3 linked regions of the Drosophila melanogaster genome follow. The protein of the gene in region 2 interacts with the protein of the main gene of each other region in a pairwise test. Each region holds a gene or a part of one and is shown on either strand. Other genes may lie near its edges.

Evidence for each region.
Region 1: the proteins of Mal-A2 (region 2) and Cyp6a19 interact in a two-hybrid assay, tested with the Drosophila melanogaster proteins (one large-scale study listed by BioGRID).
Region 3: the proteins of Mal-A2 (region 2) and CG4836 interact in a two-hybrid assay, tested with the Drosophila melanogaster proteins (one large-scale study listed by BioGRID).

Annotation. Positions count from the first base shown.
Region 1 is NT_033778.4:14,874,682-14,881,408, reverse strand, and holds Cyp6a19 (cytochrome P450 6a19), read right to left. Parts: upstream 3,624-6,727; 5' UTR 3,610-3,623; coding exon 2,523-3,609; intron 2,469-2,522; coding exon 2,044-2,468; 3' UTR 1,876-2,043; downstream 1-1,875. Other genes in the region: Cyp6a23 (cytochrome P450 6a23), read right to left, coding at 3,975-4,396, 4,462-5,548; Cyp6a17 (cytochrome P450 6a17), read right to left, coding at 5,864-6,285, 6,346-6,727. UniProt on the Drosophila melanogaster protein: May be involved in the metabolism of insect hormones and in the breakdown of synthetic insecticides.
Region 2 is NT_033778.4:8,450,614-8,457,668, forward strand, and holds Mal-A2 (maltase A2), read left to right. Parts: upstream 1-3,013; 5' UTR 3,014-3,035; coding exon 3,036-4,537; intron 4,538-4,598; coding exon 4,599-4,727; intron 4,728-4,786; coding exon 4,787-4,859; 3' UTR 4,860-5,169; downstream 5,170-7,055. Other genes in the region: Mal-A1 (maltase A1), read right to left, coding at 1-1,271; Mal-A3 (maltase A3), read right to left, coding at 5,330-5,396, 5,459-5,602, 5,668-7,033.
Region 3 is NT_033777.3:20,011,629-20,020,400, forward strand, and holds CG4836 (uncharacterized protein), read left to right. Parts: upstream 1-2,497; 5' UTR 2,498-2,602; coding exon 2,603-5,129; intron 5,130-5,193; coding exon 5,194-5,388; intron 5,389-5,449; coding exon 5,450-6,230; intron 6,231-6,286; coding exon 6,287-6,458; 3' UTR 6,459-6,620; downstream 6,621-8,772. Other genes in the region: MED25 (mediator complex subunit 25), read left to right, coding at 1-23; CG17190 (uncharacterized protein), read right to left, coding at 252-965, 1,763-1,822; PIG-L (phosphatidylinositol glycan anchor biosynthesis class L), read right to left, coding at 7,358-7,539, 7,601-7,690, 7,837-8,127, 8,720-8,772.

The sequences.
Region 1 (6,727 bases), 6.4 Mb from region 2:
TTTATGAAGCTCAACTGGAGTACATTTGCGATCTATTTTTCGACGGCATAACTACATATATCACCGCACCCAAGCTGATGTCATAGGTGTTTACAGTGTTCTACTGGCAATTGTGGTGGTGCTAGTGGGATATCTATTACTGAAATGGCGTCGTGCCCTTCACTACTGGCAGAATTTGGATATTCCTTGCGAGGAACCCCACATCCTGATGGGCAGCCTGACGGGAGTGCAGACCAGTCGATCATTTAGTGCCATCTGGATGGATTACTACAATAAGTTTCGTGGTACTGGCCCCTTCGCAGGCTTCTACTGGTTCCAAAGACCCGGAATACTCGTACTGGATATTTCGCTGGCAAAGCTCATCCTGATTAAGGAATTCAATAAGTTCACCGATCGTGGTTTCTATCACAACACGGAGGACGATCCACTGTCTGGTCAGTTGTTTCTGCTAGATGGCCAAAAGTGGAAGTCTATGAGGAGCAAGCTATCCTATACGTTTACGTCGGGTAAAATGAAGTATATGTTTCCCACCGTCGTAAAGGTGGGTCATGAATTCATCGAAGTCTTTGGCCAAGCGATGGAAAAGTCTCCCATTGTCGAGGTTAGGGATATCCTGGCCAGATTCACCACCGACGTAATCGGCACGTGTGCCTTTGGCATTGAGTGCAGTAGTCTTAAGGATCCAGAGGCAGAGTTCAGGGTAATGGGTCGTCGAGCCATCTTCGAACAACGCCACGGACCGATCGGGATCGCGTTCATCAATAGCTTCCAAAATCTGGCACGCAGACTGCACATGAAAATAACACTAGAAGAAGCCGAACACTTCTTCCTCCGGATCGTCAGGGAAACAGTCGCATTTAGGGAGAAGAACAACATCCGTCGCAACGACTTTATGGATCAGCTCATCGATTTAAAGAACAGTCCACTGACAAAGTCCGAATCTGGGGAAAGTGTTAACCTTACGATCGAGGAAATGGCCGCCCAGGCGTTCGTGTTTTTCGGAGCTGGCTTCGAAACCTCGTCGACCACCATGGGATTCGCACTGTATGAACTGGCCCAGCATCAGGACATTCAGGACCGGGTGAGGAAGGAGTGTCAGGAGGTTATTGGAAAGTACAACGGAGAGATAACTTACGAAAGTATGAAGGACATGGTCTATCTAGATCAGGTTATATCGGGTATGTAATGTGCTCGTCTTCTCCGTCCTTTCTAACTTTTGGTTTTTTTTTAGAAACCCTTCGCTTGTACACCGTTCTCCCGGTCTTGAATCGCGAATGCCTGGAGGACTATGAGGTTCCTGGACATCCCAAATACGTCATCAAAAAGGGAATGCCCGTTTTGATTCCGTGTGGAGCCATGCACCGCGATGAGAAACTGTATGCCAATCCAAACACCTTTAACCCAGACAACTTCTCGCCCGAACGAGTGAAGGAACGCGACTCCGTGGAGTGGCTTCCATTCGGCGATGGTCCCAGGAACTGCATCGGAATGCGGTTTGGTCAAATGCAGGCCAGAAGTGGATTGGCTTTACTAATCAATAGGTTCAAGTTCTCCGTTTGCGAACAAACAACAATACCAATTGTATACAGCAAAAAAACATTCTTAATATCAAGCGAGACTGGCATCTTCTTAAAAGTTGAACGCGTTTAAAAATTTCAATATTTAATCTATTAGTCCCTATTTTATATGGAATTCCAGAAACAATGTTGCTCTATATCTATAAGAATGTTAAGCTTATTAGTGTCTAATCGCAGTAGCATGCTTGTGGATAACTAACTACTGTAAGTTGGCTTTCATTTTATGGTTTTAAAAAATTGTTTTTTTATTTTCTGGGTGATATATTGCCTTTTAAAGGCTTCTTATTATTGCATAATTATTACAAGACTCTTTTGCAGAAAAAATACTTTCGGCATTTCTTGGCAGAAGCAATCTATGAACATAACATTTTTAAGAAGTTAAGATATTTTAAAATCATTACAAAAACATTTTAAAAATCACGTACTCAAAGTAACTAACAACGAAATTAAATAAATATATAACACTTTAGTCTCTCACTACCTTGGTGATATTGAGATGGATTCCGCCCTCGGAGCCCAGCAAAAGGTTATTGATTGTGTATTTCATTGGCACTGGCGTCTTGGGATGCAATTCGAACCTAAAATTGTGGATTAGCAGGGCCAATCCAATGATGACCTGCATCCGTCCGAATCGGAGTCCAATGCAATTTCGGGGACCAGCTCCGAAGGGTAGGAAAGCGCAGGTGGGACGCTTCTTTACTTGCTCTTCATCGAATCGTTCTGGGATAAACTTTTCCGGCTCCGGATAAAACTCAGGATCATGATGGATGCCCAGGGTGGACACCAGCACTCCAGTGCCGGCCTCTATGAAATACTTGGGATTACTGTGCTGGTACGGTTTGGTGGCAATGCGAGCCAAGTGGGCTACCACTGGATGTTTCCTTAGCGATTCTAAGCAGATAACATATACAGTTTAGAATGAAAAAATAAACTATAATAACTTACCATTGATAACCTTTTCCATATAAAACAAGTCCTGCATAGAATCGTATTCCAGTTTACCATTGTACCTTTCCAGCACACTGTCGATTTCAGCCCTCAACTTGTCCTGAACATCCTGATTGCAGGCCAGCTCATAAAGTGTGAATCCCATGGTTGTGGATCCCGCCTCAAAACCAGCTAGGAAAAATACGAAGGCCTGGGCAGCGACCTCATTGAAGGCAAGTCCATTTTCCTTGTCGCCTTTATCATACTGCTGTTTCATGTCAATCAACGTGTCCATGAAATCGTTCCGAGTCACCTTTCTCTTCATCCTGTAATCTATGGTGTCCTGCACGATTTTCATATAGAACTTCTGCACCGAGGGAAGCAAGAACTGGAAACCCAGTTTCACGGCCAGTTTAGGCATCCCGAAGATTAGTAGATCTACCAGCCAACCATGACGACGTTCTCTTAGCGCTGAGTAGCCCATTTGGACGAACTCCGCCTTAGGATCCCGCAGACTATTGCATTTCAGGCCAAAAGCACAGATTCCAATTACGTCGGATGTGAAGCGTGACACAATGTCGGTGACTTCCAGGGTCTGCGAAGAACTGGAGATCTTTTCATCGACCACGCGAATCATCTCATCGCCCACGTTTAAGACCGTGGAAAACATGCTCTTCATTTTGGCTGACGTAAATGTGTGGGTCAGCTTCTGTCGCAGATTTTTCCACTTTTGACCCTCGATGGTTGCCAGGTTATTGGTCAGCGGATCATCCTTTTCGTTGTGATACACTCCGCGATCGTGAAACTTATCGAAGTCGCGAATTAGCACGGTTTTTACAAAATCCACGTCCGTGATGACAATGTACTTCATAGCATAGAGGTAGAAGCCCGCAAAAGGTCCGTCGGTCTGTTTCCTGAATTTCAGATATGTTCGCTTGAGGATGCCGGCCAGCGGCATTGTTCTCCAAAGTTCGCCGGTATTGCCGAGCGGAATATTGGGTGGATCATGGGGAATTCCTCGCCGTTTCCAGTAGGTGTAGTTCTGGAGCACCCACCAAGCGACGAGCGTAAGGACACCGACCACCAAACCGAGCAGGATCGCCATTTTGAGCAGACTGATTTGAGAAACCAATTCCAAGCGTTGCTTTTATGAAGAAGAGCTTTCCATCTAGCTATCGCCTGCTCCTCTTTTTTAGTCGTAACCAAGAAAATTTAACTGTTCACTTCCAGATAGAGGTGCTAATAGCAAAAAAGCTGAACAAAAATTTATTGAGGGTATTACCACAAATATTTACAATAAATTTACAACAACAAACTAACAAGGCTTAATTTGAATGCTATACTCTCATATACTGAATATGAGCTTTAAGAGGGATTTAATTCAAAAAAATCATATATAGCCGTGAATAAATGACCAAATAAAATTGTAATATTTAACCATTAAAGCCCATAATAATTTTGTTTATAGTCTCATTTGGAAAGCTTCTCAACTTTAAGGTGAATGCCATTCTCAGCAGACAGAAGAATGCTTTTCACGACAAACTTCATGGGAATTTGTGTTTCTGTGGACACACTGAACTTATAGCCTCGGATTAGATAGGCCAATCCCACGCAGGCCTGCATCAGTCCAAACCGAAGACCGATGCAGTTCCGGGGACCTTCTCCAAACGGCAGCCAGGTGCACGAGGGTCTCGCGGCGATCGCCTCATCCGTAAATCGCTCCGGCTTGAACTTCTCCGGTTCGGGATAGATTTCCGGATCATAGTGAATACCAAGAGCTGGGATCACAACAGTGGTTCCCTTGGCAATAAAGTATTTAGGATCTTCAGGCGAAAAATCTGTCTGGGTCATTCGCGTTAGATGCGCCAGAACTGGATACTTGCGAAGGGTTTCTGTGGCGTAAAATGGGAAAAGGCCCTTTAGGTAAAGTTATGCAACCTCTTGGGATTTTACTTACCCATGACGACCTGCTCCAGATACTTCATCTCTTTGATTCCCTCGTAGGTAAACTCGTTGTTGTGTTTGCTCAGAACATTGTTGATCTCCGCCCTAAGTTGATCCTGAATATCCTGATCGAGGGCGAGCTCGTACAGGGCAAATCCCATGGTCGTCGAGCTGGTCTCGAAGCCAGCCACAAAGAAAATAAAGGCCTGTGCCAAGATCTCGTTGAAGGACAGGCCATCCTCAGTGTTTCCGGCCTGCTCCTTCTCGTACATTTCGATTAAACTGTCCATGAAGTCGTGACGCTTCTCGTTGGTCCTCAATCGGTAGTCGATAGTATTCCTAACAATGCTAGTGTAAAAGTCCTCAACATCCTGCACGTTTAGTTTAAGCCGCAGGCGGCGGGAAAGTTTGGGAAATCCGAATATCAGGAAATCCAATAGTCCTCCATAACGACGTTCTATGATCGCCCTTTTTCCGATTGTCACAAACTCTGCATTCGGGTTTTGCAAACTATTGCAATTTAAACCGAAGGCGCAATTACCGATTACGTCAGCCGTATATCGAGCCACCAGATCCACAATTTCCAGAACTTGACCTTCACCTGTGGTGGTTTTAGCACTGAAAATCTTCTCCATTTCCTCCCCAACCTTCACAATAATCGGAAACATGTTCTTCATTTTGCCGGACGTAAAAGTGGGTGTCAGTTTGTGCCTCAGATGACGCCACTTCTGACCCTCGATGCTGAACAAGGTGGCCGACAGCGGATCATCGATCTCATTGTAGAAAATTCCTCGATTCTCAAAGTGATTGAAGTCCTTGATCAGCACCCTCTTGACCAATTCCAAGTCGGTGATGACAGCAGACCGGGTGAAAAAGAAGTAGAACCCGGCAAACGGATAAACGGAACGTTTGTACTTTGTATAGTAGTCCCGGAAGATCATCGCAATGTGTCGCTTCTTGGGCCAGTCCTTCATGTTTCCGTATATTGGATGGGGCACATCGTGCGGAATACCCCGCCTCTGCCAGTATCCATGACGTCGGCGGGCCATGAACAAAAGCAGTGACACTAGAAGTGCGATCAACGTTAGTAACAGCGACATATTTCGTTCTCAGTCCGCTCCACACTGAGTTACCAACCGGAATGATATGGCCCCTTTATACGCGAACGTTCTCTTCTAATCTCTTCAAATGTACTCAGAAGCTAGTTGATAAAGCGAATATTATTGCTTTCGGTGTGTGTATGCCTTATTATGTGATGTTTGCTAGCAAATCAAAACATTGCCTAACACATAACACATTAAAAAGGTTAGTTAAAGAGGGCTTAAATTCATATTAACTGAGCACAGCCTAATCTAATCGATCACGTAAGTGAATCAAGCAAAATAAAGAACACAAATAATGTATTTGTTAAAAACTTATTTGGCGAGCTTCTCCACTTTAAGGTGGATACCATTCTCGGCCGATATCAGAATGTTCTTAACGACAATCTTCATGGGTATTTGAGTTTCCGGGGAAACACTGAATTTATAGCCCCTGATCAAGTAGGCCAAGCCCACACAGGTTTGCATCATTCCAAACCGCAGACCAATGCAGTTCCGCGGACCTTCTCCAAATGGAAGCCAAGTGCACGAGGGTCTCGCCGCGATTTCCTCGTCGGTAAAGCGTTCTGGCTTGAATATCTCCGGTTCCGGATATATGTCCGGATCATAGTGAATGCCCAAAGCTGGGATCACAACAATGGTTCCCTTGGCAATGAAGTATTTTGGATCTTCAGGCGAAAAGTCGGTGTCAGTCATTCTTGTAAGATGAGCCAGTACTGGGTACTTTCGCAGCGTTTCTAAAACAATATTTAAATAAATGTATCAAATAAAAAATAAGAAGGATTAAAGAAACATACCCATCACAACCTGCTCCAGGTATTTCATCTCCTTGATTCCCTCGTAGGTGAACTCTTTGTTATGCTTGCCGAACACATTGCCAATCTCCTCCCTGAGTTTATCCTGAACATCCTGGTTCCTGGCCAGCTCATATAGAGCGAATCCCATGGTCGTGGAGCTTGTCTCAAACCCAGCCACAAAAAATATGAAAGCCTGAGCGAGAAGTTCGTTAAAGGTCAGGCCATCCTCCGAATTTCCCGACTGCTCATTCTTATACATCTCTATCAGACTGTCCATGAAATCATTTCGCTTTTCCTTCGTCCGTAGACGGTAGTCAATGGTTTCCCTCACGATCTTGGTGTAAAAGTCCTCTGCCTCCTGGATATTTAGTTTCAGACGTAA
Region 2 (7,055 bases):
TAGTAGTTGTCGGGATCGGAGTTGCACGCATTCGGATCAACGGTGTCCTCCCAGCTGATCCAGACGTCGGTCATGCCCAGCTCCTCTCCATTGTAGGTGACCGCGTGGCCGGGCAGAGTCTGCAGCAGGATGTTGATAAGGTCGGTGCGCTGGACACCAAATCGGGAGGCTACTCGCTTGTTGTCGTGGTTGCCCAGCACCCAATTGGCATAAACGCCCTCGGGCATGGCGTCCATCCACTTCTTAATATGTTCTACGTACTCTCCGGCCTTAGAGGCGTTGTTGATGCTCGTAAGGAAGTCAAAGTTGAAGGGAATGTGGGAGCCATTCCTGACTCCATTTCCATAGTAAGTCATGATGTTTTCAAAGCTGGTGTACGCCTCCGTCATCAGCAGCCTCTTATCTCCGCCGTTCTCCACATGAAACTCATCCACCAACTCACGCCACTGGTACACCATGTCAATTGTTTCCGGCATGTCCTGTGTATAGATGTGCTGCGTGTAGCAGTGGTCATCGGGGTCGGGACAGTTCACGGAGTCGTTGGTCAGAGGCTCGTCCGGATACTGGTTGTAGCGATCGAGATCCACCTCAAACAAGTAGGGAACTGCATCTATACGGAATCCGGATACTCCCTTTCCCAGCCAGAAGCGAATAACGTTCTTCATCTCGTTAACCACGGCCGGATTGCGATAGTTGAGGTCGGCCTGCTGGATGGCGAACTGGTGGAGGTAGTACTGCTGACGCACCTCGTTCCACTCCCAGGCGCTGTAGCGAAACTCAGAGTTCCAGTTGCTCGGCGGCTCCCGCTCACCGGTCTCGTTGTTGATCTTGCCATCGTGCCAGATGTAGAAGTCTTTGTAGACGGGGTCACTGTCCACAGACTTGGTGAACCATTCGTTTTCGGTACTTGAGTGGTTTGGTACGAAGTCCAGGATGATTTTAATGCCCACCTCCTTGGCCTTGGCGATCATTCGCTCAAAGTCCTCCATGGTTCCATATTCGGGATGGATCTGGTAGAAGTCCGATATGTCGTAACCAAAGTCGACCATGGGCGACTTGAATATGGGCGACAGCCATGTGCCCGTGAAGCCGATGTCTTTCAGGTACTGCAGCTTTTCAGTGACCCCGTTCAGGTCGCCAATGCCGTCTCCGTCGGAATCCCGGAAGGAGCGCGGGTAGATCTGGTAGTAGTTTCCACTCTCCCACCACTCGGTGGCTCCCACGAAGCCAACGATGGCCAGTAATAGACACGCAGCTGATTGCGGGCGCATTTTGATCGATTTTGTTCGGGCTGGAGAGCTGACAGTGCCTTTTATACTAGTCGATAAGGTGGCTCCAATCGAGATCTGGCCATTTTGAGTGGCCATTTGAATTGCTGTGCAAACAGCTCCCATGAGTTCTCAGGGTGCTCGAGTCGAACCGAAACTGTCATTGTTTTCGTACTCCCAGCGAAGCTTTACGTAAAGCGATTAGCCCACTCCCGAATGTCTTCTGATTGCTGGAAAAATACCGATTTTTGCGACAAATATCATCCGGAATTATTTGTATACCCGTTACCGGTAAGTGTAAGCAGGTATACAGGTTCGGCGAAAATAAGGTATAATATCGGAATTATGGGAAATAAGAGAGCCAAACAGTTGAGAATACGGCTTTTGCTTCTAGAAAAGCAAACACATCTAGAGATAGTTCCAAAAGATTGCCACACGCTATACATTTAAACTAAATATGAAGTGAATTAAATTTTACATTCTGCTGCTGGGTTCCACTCTGAGACCGAAGGTTTTCTGTTTGCAATTTGAGTAATGGGTAACATATAGCGCAGCACCTGTCTTTTCTGTTCCTCCTTGTTTTTGTTATGGTAGGCCTTTCAAGTGGACATTAGTCACCTGATAATAGCGCAGACAAATCCTACTCCTTCAACTACAAGCAAACAAGCAACAAGCTGGAAAACCATGATTAATTAACACTTAACAATGCTGTGGAAATGTTTAAAAGATAACCTTGTGGAAGTTTTGGGGGCATTTTAATCGCGTGACAATACATAATCATCGTTGCAATACGGCCTAAACTGTTGTCAGTATCAGCGTAGGTCGACATTCATATGATAAGCGTTTTCGAGGAAAATATTTCCTGCGTTTATCTAACTCTATAAAAATGTCATATTTTACTCGCAGTAACTTGTACAGTACAGTAACTTGTAAAGTCCACTTAAGATTGTCCGTCCGCCTGTCTGTCAATTACAATAAATGCATCCTTCATCAGGTTGCGTTAGTGTAGTAAACTACCTTAAAAGGTAACTCAAAATATACATGTATTTGTTAGCTATATTGATTGTATGAAACCACAGATGGTTTAGATAGTACCCGTACCTCAAAAAGCTTATCATGAAAAATACAAAAACATCCTTTGAATTGTGGCTAGAGTGGTATCAAGAATTCTACATGCAATTTATGATTTCATCTTTTGTGAACTCTGGAGCATATTGAGGTGGAATTGTAAAGGTAAAGCCTAAATGGTGACCTAATTAGTATTATAAATCTAAACATTTTTTGTTGTCGAGAAAAAAGCATATGGTATATCAAAAGTATTTTGGCCGTGCACGCATTATTGCCCATTTATTATCTGTCTTGCTCAAATACACTGAAATATGTTTGTAGTAATTTTTATAAATTGTAAAATATATTATATTCTATAAATTCTATATTATATTTGTAATTAAACCCGTTACCCTACGAATATAAATACTAAAAGATATTGATGCAGCTTGTGATTCTCAGGCCAGTCATCAATTTATAACTTTAACAAACGTACTTTATTGCACTTTTACGACATTTCGCGGTCTAATGGAATGCCCAACAAAAAAGAGAGCATTCGAGAGCGGGAAAGACCAGTCCACTGTTATTTAATCTAGCAAATATGCGATAAAACTGATAGATTACCAGTTGGCCGGTGCAATTGTGCCTTATCGACTGCTCAATCGCTACATGGCAATTGGTATTAGCAAATTGAGTTTGGCCCACTCAAACGCTATCGAAATGCCAAAGTGGGCACATCTCGGGCTAGCAGCTCTCCTTCTAATTTCCACCACCCAGGAGGGTACTGCAGATATCGATTGGTGGGAGAACGCCTCGCTGTACCAGATATATCCGCGCTCCTTCCAGGACAGCGATGGCGATGGCATCGGGGACCTGAAAGGCATTACTTCGAGATTGGGCTACCTCAAGGAAATAGGCATCACGGCCACCTGGCTGTCGCCCATTTTTACCTCGCCCATGTCGGATTTCGGCTACGACATCTCTAACTTTTATGACATCGATCCGATTTTCGGCACTCTCGAGGATTTCGATGACCTTATAGTGGAGGCCAAGTCGCTGGGCGTTAAGATCATTCTCGACTTTGTACCCAACCACTCGAGTGACGAGAACGTGTGGTTTGAAAAGTCCGTGAATCGCGAAGATGGCTACGACGACTTCTACGTGTGGGACGATGGAAAACTGAATGAGGAAACTGGTGCAAGAGATCCTCCATCTAATTGGGTCAGTGTGTTCAGCGGACCCATGTGGACGTGGAACGAGAAGCGCCAGCAGTACTTCCTGCACCAGTTTCAGGTGAAGCAGCCGGATCTAAACTTTACCAATCCAATGGTCAGGGAGCACATGCTGGATGTCTTGAAGTTTTGGCTGGACCGCGGAGTTGATGGATTTCGTATCGATGCAGTTCCACACATCTACGAGCACCGCAATGCAGACGGATCCTATCCGGATGAACCGGTTAGCGGTTGGGGCAGTGACCCCAACGCCTACGACTACCATGATCACATCTACACCAAGGACCAGCCGGCCACGGTGGATCTCATGTACGAATGGCGTGAGTTTTTGGACAACTATCGGGCGCAGAATGGAGGCGATTCACGGGTTCTCCTGGCCGAGGCCTATTCTTCCGTGGAGACACTAAGTGCTTACTTCGGAAACAGCACCCATCAGGGTACCCAGCTGCCCATGAACTTCCAGTTGATGTATCTCAGTGGATACTCCACCGCCAAGGATGTTGTGGGATCTATCGACTACTGGATGAATACCATGTGGAAGGAGCACCAGACGGCCAATTGGGTTGTTGGTAATCACGATACCAACCGAGTGGCCGATCGTATGGGAGCTCACAAAGTGGATCTACTAAATGTGATTGTAAACGCCCTGCCAGGTGCTTCGGTAACCTACTACGGCGAGGAAATTGGCATGTCCAACGTGGACGTGGAGTGCACCGGCGACTCTTGCGAGGATCGCGATGGGGAGCGCACGCCCATGCAGTGGACGGCTGGAAAGAATGCCGACTTCTCTGATGGGGAGTCCACCTGGCTGCCTCTAAGTCCCGAATATCAACGGTACAATGTGCAGACTGAACGCGGTGTTTCCAGATCTTCCCTGAACATCTTTAAGGGTCTTCAAGAACTTAAGAGCAGTTCCGCCTTTCTTGCGTTCAAAGAGGATGGAGGTTTCTCCTACGAGGCGGTGACGGAACAGGTTCTACAGATCATTCGGTACGTGAAGCAAATCCTCTTCTAATCCTCTTGCTGATCCTAATATCCTGATATCCTACAGCACAAACAAGATCAGCGAGGAGTATCGAATCCTGGTCAACATGGGCAACGGTATGGAAATCCTCGATGGGCTCGCCCCCAAAACCTACGAGTATGTGCTGGCCACTGCCTACTCCACACACTATTCGGGGTAGGTTTTCTCTACTTTCTTGATTTCTATACTTTTAACTAACTTAAAACGATTTACAGGCAAAAAGCAGATCTGTCACAGAGAATCATTCTCATGCCCTACGAAGCAGTCGTTCTACGCTGGTTGGCTTAACTTCTTGTACTTATTTTGTTGTATCAAGAATTACTTCTTTAGTTCGTGTTAATCAGTACGAATGCCACTGGGGTCCCTAATAAAGATAGGCCCTGTTTCGACATATGTTTTCCCAGAAATATATTAAACCGAACTTTGAATGCCAATTACCACATCTAGATTTTATAGACACCCACTTAAGATATAGGCATTTGGCCTGAGCTGTCGCTTGGTTATCGCTATGGATTAATCTGCGAATAAACGTGATCGATAGTAATCGTACGAATTTAGTTATTGCCTAAATGGCCAATAAATTAAATGGCTATTATTCAAAACTTCCAGTGGGTCTGTTTCTAATCAGTGCTTATACAAGTTGGCATGGGGCCATCGTATAGATAAGCACAGTTAGTTAAGTAATCCAACCCTATTAAAGAAGTTATGCGATCAAAATATTTTTGTGTTATTCTTTATTAAGGATCTAATATATTAGTTTAAACTGTGCTCAGCACAACTGCTTCCTTGGGCAACAGCAGCACGGAGTTGGCAAAGGTGAGGTCGCTAAAAGGATAAAATAGTTAGTGTTGTATGTTTAAAGATATTTTATGGTGTCTAGTGCTTACTTCTTGCGACGCACACTCTTATCATTCACCACCACATATTGCAGTTGCGTGGTTATGGAGGTGAAGACAGAGTCCAAGTTGATCGATTCCACATCATCGTTGATGTTGATGAGGGTGATGTACGACTTGTAGCCCGCCAAAGATCTGTTGACAAGGAAAACCGGTCAATATCCAGTCTTTGTGTAAGTTCTATGATTGTTCCAGCTTACCGCTTGAAGGCCAGCACATTTGGACCAATGGCTGTTACGGAGACATCACCCTGCTTCAAAGTAGGCTCATCACGCAGAGCCCGCAGCTGCTTGTAGACGTTCAGGTGGCTAAGGGCTATTCCACGCTCCTTCTTCACATTGACCAACTTGTAGTTGCTGGCCACAGGCAGCCAGGTTACCGAGGCGTTGGAGAACCCGGCGTTGACCTCGTCGCTCCACTGGAATGGAGTGCGCACTGGGTCGCGAGTGAGGCGCTCAAACTCCTGTTCGTTCGATTGGCAGGCTTGAGGGTCCACGGTGTCCTCCCAGCTGATCCAAACGTCGGTCATACCCATCTCCTCGCCCTGGTAGGTCACACTCACGCCGGGCAGGCCCAGTATGATCATGTTGCAGGCGTCGATGCGATCGGCGCCCAATCGGGAGCCAATGCGACTCTGGTCGTGGTTGCCGAACACCCAGTTAGCCACCTGACCTTCTGGCATGTTGTCCAGCCAGTTGTGGATCAGCTCCGAGTAATGGTAGGCATCGGAGCTGTAGCTGATCTTGGCCAGCAGCTCGAAATTGAAGGGGATCTGGGAGCCCAGGTGAGTGCCATTTCCATAGTACTGCATCAAAACTTCCAGAGGAGAGTAGGCCTCGGTGAGCAGGACGCGGTCGTCGCCACCCAGCTCGGCGTCTATTTCCTCGATCACATCGCGGAAAGCGTAAACCAGCTCCAGGGTCTCGGGTTGATCGGTGGTGTAGATGTGCTGCAGGTAAGTGTAGTCCTCGGGATCGCTCACCGCCTCGTTCCGCGGTTCATCGGGCCAGTTGCCGTCGGCATCAGCTGGAATTTCGTAGACATGAGGAACGGCGTCGATGCGGAAGCCGTAAGCCCCCTTTCGCAGCCAGAAGCGCAGTACATCCTTCATGGCTTCAACAACCTTGGGGTTGCGGTAGTTTAGATCGGGCTGTTTGGCGTGGAATTGGTGGAGGTAGTACGCCTGCCGTTGCTCGTTCCAGGTCCACATGGATCCGCGGAACACGGAGACCCAGTTGGTGGGTGGCTGGCGGATTCCGTTGACCACCTTGCCGGTGTGCCAAACATAGAAATCCTTGTACTCCTCCTCGCCAGCTGCCGATCGTATGAACCAGTCGCACTCGTCACTGGTGTGGTTGGGCACAAAGTCCAGAATGATTTTGATGTCCAGCTCTTTGGCGCGCGCAAGCAGGGCCTCGAAATCCTCCATTGTGCCGAATATGGGATCAATACCCTTAAGATCAGCCACATCGTAGCCGAAATCAGCCATGGGTGAGGTGAAGATCGGGGAAAGCCAGGTGGCTGTGATGCCAATTTCCTTTAGGTAAGGCAGCTGTTGCGTAATACCTAAGTGCAAGAGTGAAGTAAG
Region 3 (8,772 bases), on a different chromosome or scaffold from region 2:
ACGGAAACTATGAGTTCATGTAGGCTACTTAAGAGTATCGTATAAAAAACCAGAATTAAGACAGTAAAATATTTTATAAAATCCAACTGCAAGTCTTTTTTGGGGTAGTGGCAAAATCTATTTCCCAAAATCGAAATATTAATTTCTCCATTTTCATAACATTTCGTTTATTTAATTAGTAAGAATCAAGGGAAATCCGAATTTGCACAAGACTTATATTAATCACAGAACATAATCTCCGAGAAAGTCCACTAGTTTGCTCCACCGCCGCCGCCCCCCGAGGATGCGGAACTTGCACTTCCAGCGCTAGCGGCAAACACCTTGCGAAGATTCTGCAAGATGCTGAACAGAACCGTTCCCGCGCTGCCCAACGTTTCCAGAACATCGAATCCGGTGCTGTCGATGGCTGTCTCCCGATCCTCCTCCGTTTCGATGGCCGGGGAGCTGATGTTCCCGCCATTGTGGTGAGTTTCGTGGACGCCATGGTGTCCAATCAGCCGATGAGTATTGCTCTTCACATGGGAGTCGTTCACGCCGCCACCGCCAACTGTGTTTATCAGGTGCTTCACCGGCTCCAGGACCGGAATATTTAGCTTAATGCGATGCCATGCATCCGCAGTTTCGGTGAAGCCCTCATGCTGCTCGCCAGTGGCCTTCATCTCATCATCCAGCTGGTTTCGCTCGCTGACCGGATCGTCGTCCGTCTCCAGGGACAGCTCCAGACTCATGTTTCCCTTACCAGGCAGTTGCAACAAACTGCCGAAGAGCTGTTGCAGATGCGCCGAGTTGGTGGCCTCCGCCTCATTCTGCTCGAAATCGAACTCTTCACGTACTCCCGACTTGGGCTTCTGGTTCACAAAGCTGGTCACATGCAGCATTCCATTCTTGGTGCCAGAATCACTGGAGTTGGTGGGCTTGGCGGACGTCGTCGTCGTCGTCGTCGTCAGCAGTAGCAGCCACAAAAACTGCAGATACATTCGGAGAAATGGAATCTATAATTGGCGCTTAATGACCGGCTGCACGTACGTTAATGAATATTGAGTATGACCGGTAATAAGGCTTTCTATATTCAAATCCCAACGCGCACGCGTCACTGGACCTTGAATTTGGTTGAATAAGATATGGCTGCTTTACAAATCAAAGATGAGGTTTCTAAGTTATGATATGTGCCCATCTATACACTTAGAGAAAAAACCGTTCTCAAAGATCTCGATTTGAAAATTTTGATCTCAAAATTCTGCCAAGATTGAATTATGCTTCGATAGAGATCGATCCATTCTTAGATTACAATTGACTTTGCTCTCATTTTGTCAGTCTTTCCATTACGTTCCTTTTACACAATCATAAACCTGATACTTCTTCCCTCTGAAAATATTAAAATTGAGATCGTTTTCGTCTCGAAATCAAGAAGAAATCTTCTCATGATTTATGATAAATGCCACTGAGTGACGTTCTTAATTTTTCTGGGTGTATGGTGGTTGCTTCAAAAAGTCATAGGGTCCGATCGGAAGAGGGTCTGATTATATTCTTACTAATAGCCAGAGATTATAGTTTAAAGTTTTAAGCAAAGCTTTGTGTGGTTATACCTTGTATACGAAGGTGATCCCTAATGTGCAACCAAACTCTATACTCTATTCATGACCTACACCATTTTCTTGAATAGTTAGCTCATGAGTCACTTATTTGTTTAAAAAAAACCCACATTATGAATTTAGACATCGCCAAGTTCCCTAATTATCGGCAATGCCAAGTGTTTGCTTACATTAAAAAACACAATAAGACATATGGAACTACTAAGTGTGGAGCTGGCCAATCGCAACATTGTCAATGGAATCACGGATCTAGCTCTTGGCTAGAAATCGAAACTAAAACCGAACCGAAACAGAAACTGAAACCGCTGCCAGCAAAATCAGAAATCGAACTGAGGCACCAATTGATTGAGTGGGTGACCAGGTGACTAGTGAATCAATTAATATGCAGCAACGGTAGGGGCAATTGTGGTACCTAAATTTAATTCAAAATGCATTTAGAGGCCCCCAAAAAAGTCGGTTCTTCGAGTTTTTGGAGTGACAGCATTTATGGGATTATATCTGCAGCAAATAGGTTGCAGTAATCTTCCTTATTTTCAAGGACTTGCCAAACGAATCGATTGTGGAATCTTATAGAAATTTCGGGAAAGCAGTAGGCTAGCGAATTTTAGTTCATAATCTCGTTTGGCTTACTGGCCCAGTCTGAAAACATAGCCCAGTGCTAGTACACAACCTTTTGTAAACCTACAAAAAAAATTCCACCAAAATTCAAAATTCAAAGTTTTTAGTTTTTGGCCTTTCAGCACAAGTGAAAAATTAAGTAGTATGCGCTTATTTGGCAGAGTAACCAACATTTTACAGGTACAGTACATTTGAATTAAGGCTAAAACCTAAAATCAGTAGGCCCTTTACTTTTACGTTAGACATTTGGTTAGCTTTTACACCATTTTTCCTTGCTACGTCTTACACTACACAACATTTTGGTTTCTTTCCTTTCTCAAAACTGAAATTCTACCGTGTGTTAACTTATGTATTCCTGAATCAAGTCAAAAATTTGTACATAAAAAGAAAAAATGCCAGGCATATTCGGGAAGTTCCCGACTAACCGTCTCGGACTTAATCTCCTCCAGATATCTAGATGCGTTAGCTACCATGCTCCGCTATACCGACCGCGCAGCCTACTCCATGCAGAACGGTTGAGGCAACTATGCACCAGTGCCTCCTCCGGATCAAAGTCTAGCCGGAGGACGAATCATCCGTGTCGCGTCCGGGTGCAGAGGTACTCCCAAAAGGGTAGCAATGTGTTCTCGGTCAGCGATAACGTGGATATGCTGCGCAAACGGATTAGCTTTTCCGGCAACTCGAGCAATGCGCCCAAGATCATGCCCATTGGACTGATTACACCGGAAACGGGTGATGGCAAGGATCTGAAGATAGTCATTGTGCCCTTGGATCTGTCTGGCATGGATGGCAACGAACTCAAGGACACGCTGGAAACCATCAACAAGTTGCGCTTGTACGCCAACCACATCGAGACCTTCTCCAACAGCATGGTCGAGGAATACGGTGCCTTGAACGAGGCCCTGCAGGAAGTGGAATCGGGCGGTCAGCCCCAAGAAGTCAAGGCCGGGGCGAGTGCCGAGGACCGCAAATTTTGGGAGGCCTTCCCATCCACGCCAACGGCGGACGCTGTGGGAACCGCACTGGATGCGGGTCAGGGTGCCAACATGCCAATGCAACGCCAGACGGCAGTCAATAGTTGCCTGCAAAACGCTGTGGGTAACTCAGCTATCAACTCTGCTCTGAAAACCACCAAATCCATGTCGGCCATGGCCCAGACGGAACCCATCCATGGCTCAACCAAGGCATCTAATCTCCAAGAGCTCGCCAACCAAGAGAGCGACTTCGTCGAGGAGGTGCGAGTGGATGTGCCGCAGGATTTGAGCAATCGCCTCAACGATATGGCCGTTTCGTCGATGGAGCTGTCCTTCGAAATGGATATGACCAATCTGCGGCAGGCTCTGGAAAGCAAGGACAAGAATGCAGTAACTCCACAGGATCCCATGATCTGTATGCACACAAAGGTGGAATTGGATGCGCCTGGCACTGTGGAGAAAACGCTGCCGCTTAGGTTCAACGCCTTGATCTCGGGCGTAGTGGAGATCGATACCCAGAAGTTGAGCCCCGCCCAGATAACGGAGGACAAAATGCCCGGCTTCAACGATGACCTCACCTCGCTGGCTGCCAACCTTTGCAGTACCGCCTTGGAGAAAGGTTTCGCAGGAAAATCCTCAGATACCTACATCGCGGACCTGGAACTGACCAAGGATGAGGAGACTATTCCTAATAGGATCATCGATACTTCCCATATGTCGGCGGCTAATCAAGTTGGTCAAGTGCGGGAATCCCTGCAGAAGATAGCCGAGGAAGCGTGTGCCATGCCCGGCATTCAGGAGCAAGAGGTGCCAGTTCCGGTGGACAAAGACGGCTGCAAGCATCCGCCCGTGAAACCCAAGCGCAAATGTCCTGGAAAGTGTCCTCTAATCACAGATCCCTGCAAGGAGGATCCCTGCGAGCGGCCTGCAAAGAAGAAGGCACCCAAAAAGAAGGCGTTGAAGACCACTGAGATCACGTGCAAGGGAAAGGGCGGCGGAAAGAGTGCTTGCGGCAAGGATAAGAAGAAGGATCCGTGTGGCAAGAAGGACACTAAGAAAAAGGACCCTTGTGCTAAGTTCAAGTCTGGCGAGAAGAAGGATCCGTGCGCCAAGAAAAAGGATCCCTGTGCCAAGAAGAAGGCAGATCCCTGTGCCAAAAAGAAGGCAGATCCCTGTGCCAAGAAGAAGAAGGATCCATGTGCTAAGAAGAAGGCAGATCCCTGCGCCAAGAAGAAGAAGGATCCTTGTGCCAAGAAGAAGGCAGATCCCTGTGCCAAGAAGAAGAAGGATCCTTGTGCCAAGAAGAAGGCAGATCCCTGTGCCAAGAAGAAATCCTCTTGTGCCAAGAAAGATGACAAAAAGAAGGATCCTTGCGCCAAGTTCAAGAAGGGCGGTAGTGGCGGCAAGAGCAAATGCAAGTTCTCCACCGTTGCTAACCTACCGGATGCAAGCAGGCGCCACTTGTCCACCGCCTTGAGCCAAGCTTTCCGTGAATCGAATAGTGTTTCAAATGGTCCCCGCTTCAAAGTCTACTCCACTCTTGTGCGCCGTCACTATCGTGTCCCTGTTCCGAAGATTGAGAGCTCTTGCCAGTGCTCGCTTTGCACGAGTCGGCTGCTCCACAAAGCAGTTGCTCCGGCCCGATTCACCATCAACACGGCCCTTATGAGAAGACGCTTCGGTGGACTTGCGGGAAGGATCTCCGGTGGAGCCCTGCAGCACATCAGCTATCGCGGATACGCCAAGAAGAGCAAATCCGGCGGCAAGTGTGGCGAATTGCAGACCAAATACCCCATTAATCGTGGCAAGGACATTAAGGAGCGAACGGGACTGCGCGAGGATTGCTTCAGCGACGAAGACAGCTGTCCAAAGAAAAGCTGCACCGGCAAATGCGCCAAGGTCAAGTTCCCGAAAAAGAAATGCGATCGCAAGAAGAAAAAGGATGGTGCGTAGTCATGTGATAGTGTATAGTTGCTCAGTTCCCTCAGGTCAATCATCCTGTTCCCAAGACAGAATAGGCAATCTCTTGACCCGGAGTTCTATTGCCCAGCTGCAGCCGCAGAGAAGATCATTTAGCACGCGGCCATGTTGCCATCCATCCTCTGAAAAGCGCACCGCGGATGATGAAGCACTTACGCTGCGCATAACGAATCCCTACGAGATCAGCGTGGTTCCCTTTTCCAAGCCGCGACCAAAGGACTTTGGTAGGTGATGGTTTATCCTTCAGTTGAAAGCATTATAATCGGTCACTTGATTCTCGTACAGACGTCCTCATTCGAACGGGCTCAGTGGCTGTCTCCAACTCGGACATCCACGTCTATGAGAACGGCAATCGGGACATGGAAGCCATGTCCCTGGGCCATGATGCGACGGGTATTGTGGAGGAACTCGGTCGATGCGTCCAGCATCTGCATGTGGGTGACCGGGTCGTCATGGAGTCGGCGTTATCCTGCGGCATCTGTGATCTATGCAAGAAGGGCCTGTACAACATGTGCTCCGGGTTGGTGTACAACGGCTTCCTAAGCACCTACCAAACGCATCCAGCCGACCTTTGTCACCGCCTTCCAGAGTCCATCAGCATGGAGGCGGGTGCCCTGACGCAGACACTAGCACTGGGGTGCCAGGCGTGCTTCAAGGCCAATGTCACGCCCACCAGCAACGTCCTCATCCTGGGAGCCTGCCCAACGGCTGTGGCGGCCGGCATATGCGCAAAGGCCATCGGGGCCAAGCGTGTGGCCATTGCCGGATGTATGGCTCCGGCTCTGGATGTGGTCGCCCGGGACTTCGGCTTCCAAGCAGTCGAGTTCGATAGCAACGCACTGTTCGGAGAGGTCCTTGAAGCCATCTACAGCAAGTTCCGGGATTGGCCGGACTGCGTAATCAACTGCTCCATCTCTGCAATGACGATGAATCTGGCGGTCATGGCTCTGCAGCCATGTGGGGTGTGTGTGCTGGCCGAGTGCGATTCAGAGTGTGCCAGCTTCAATGCTCTGGACGTACTGATGAAGAACATCCGCCTAGTGCCCAGTTTTCGTTCCGCCAATATGTGGGTACACCAGAATTTCCATGTCTAACCATTTAGTTATCCTCTTATCTTCGCAGGTATCCGACTGCTCTACAACTCATGCAATCTGGTCGAGCACATATGCAAAAATTCATAACGGCCACGTATCCCCTGAGCAAGGCGGACGAGGCGTTCCGAGCTGCCCAGCACGAGTCCAACATTGGGCTGGGCAAGGTGATTGTTAACTGTGCGGAAGAAGTGGACGTCTAGGCGATTCGGAGGAGAAGTTCCGAGCCGGCATTGGATAAATTTATGGTGGAAAAAACTGTGTGAAGGCCAAAAACGAAACAACTTATTCTAATTGAAGTTAATTCTGTGTTTTCGACTTCAAATTCGGAATTAGAATAAAACAATAGATTTAAGTATTGCAACAAAAAATCGTCTCGCATTTTACTAAGTTCTGCGTGGGCCCATAAAACAATGAATTTGAAAGTGCGCTATTAAAATACTTTAAATAATATTTTTCAACAGCATTCTAAAATCTATCCTCTCTGGCTCGTCATAAGATTGGTTTATGTGTGTATACATACATTCATTTATATATTTATGTAAATATATTTTATAAAATTATTATTGTACTTCGCTGCTTACAACAAACTATTTTACAATTTTACAAGAACGAAAGTGACTCACTAAAGGTGTGTATGCTACGGGGGGAAATCAATGTACACAAAACGAAAATGAAAACATAAGCTAACAACAATTAGAATAACGCATACATGTTTAATTTAATTTTAAAGCACTTGACTACATCGCACACTTTGGAACATTGCTTGGACTGAGTATAAATAATAATTAGAGCTAACTAATAAGAATTAAAGATATGCCATTTTATATGTGAGTGTGGAACTAATTAATGGACTGTTTTGTGGTTTCGGTTGCCTATGGTACTGCCGCTTCGCTGATTCTTTGTTCCCTTCGTGGTTTTGGATATAGCTTTCCAATTACTATCGATCGTTTGGCCAACAGTAGTAGTTACATACATATATATACTAGTAGAATCGTCAGAGTTTAAATTAAAAACCACTTGCTCTGCCACTCGGAGCGGAGCATCCGATCATGAAGGTAGTTTGTCTTTTGCAATTCAATCGCTCGCCCTCCTCCTCCTGTTAGTTGTCATGTATCTGCATTTCCAACTCCACATCCGAGAGATTTATCTGACGCATCGAATTGATAAACATGTAGCGCGAGAAGTAAATGTAGAGCCAGCGAAACCATCGCATCTGCGACTGATGCTCCATCATCGCACTCCTCACAATCGCAGCTTCCTTCCAATTCAGTATGCACCTGTGTAATGAAGAACTCATTAGAATTTATATATGAATTCGGCATCACTTATAACACATACCAATGCGTGGACATAAAGCACGTGCACAGCAGGTCCAAGATGGATAGATATTTTCTGACCACATTGATCGAGTCCAAGGTGTAGAATTTACAATCTGCATTGGGAAGGTACATAAAAAATTGCTCTATACTATAATATCTATGGCTATTAATAGCGACAAATGCAGCGATGGGCACGCCAATTAACATGCACCCATTGTTTGCATCCGTCGCCGCCCGCGTGACTCACACGCCTCCTCACCTTTGGGCAAAAGGTTGGCCAAACAGAGCGAGGCGGCCGCGTAATACACGGCACAATGGTTCGGATGCGAGCTGACGCCATCCCGATCAAAAGTGAATATCGCCTGGATGTCGAGGCTTTCGATCGTGTGCAGTATCAAGCTGGCCACTGCATCTGGGCGCCAGTCAACGTAGGGATCGTCCGGCAGGTTGGTGGCATTCATCAGCACGATATTGGACTCGGGAATGCCCAGTTTGGAGCAAGAACGCCACAGTTCCTGACGCCTAACCTTCGCCTTGTGCTCGAAGTTGCCTGTGCGAGAAAGCATTGGATTAATACAGTTCATTTTCAAAAGGATAAGGTTGTCATGTGATTGGCATAAAATAATGATGTCATTTTAAAGCACACACTTAAAACAATTTTCAATACATTGAAAGCAGTTATTTAGCGAAACTTAAATAGTAATTGATGATTAAGAAGTCATACAATTATTCCGAATCAGTACGTTATTATATTGAAAGGATTAATAGTTGATTTTTAAATGAATATCTAAATTTTAAAGAAAGAAATATACAAATCGGCCCTACATTACTATCAGCTCGGTATTATTTTTTATTATCTATAAAAAGATAACATCGGTGTAGCCCCTGAATCTTTGCAATAATTAAAATAATAACAGTAGAATGGGCAGGAATATATAACATTTAAAGATTATTAAAAATTCCAATACGGACTACATATATTGCACGAAATCGATTGTTGGCTAACACAAAGAGAATGCTGTGCCCATATGGCAGCAATAAAGCTAAGTCAGATTCGCTACTGATTTCGAAATGTGTACTTTCGTTTAATGCTTCCAGATCTATTGGTGGTTTGGGGATGATGTCACTGCTGGTGGTCTCACCGTTGGACAAGCAGAGTATATACACCTGGCAGCCTTGGCGCTGCGTCAGCGAG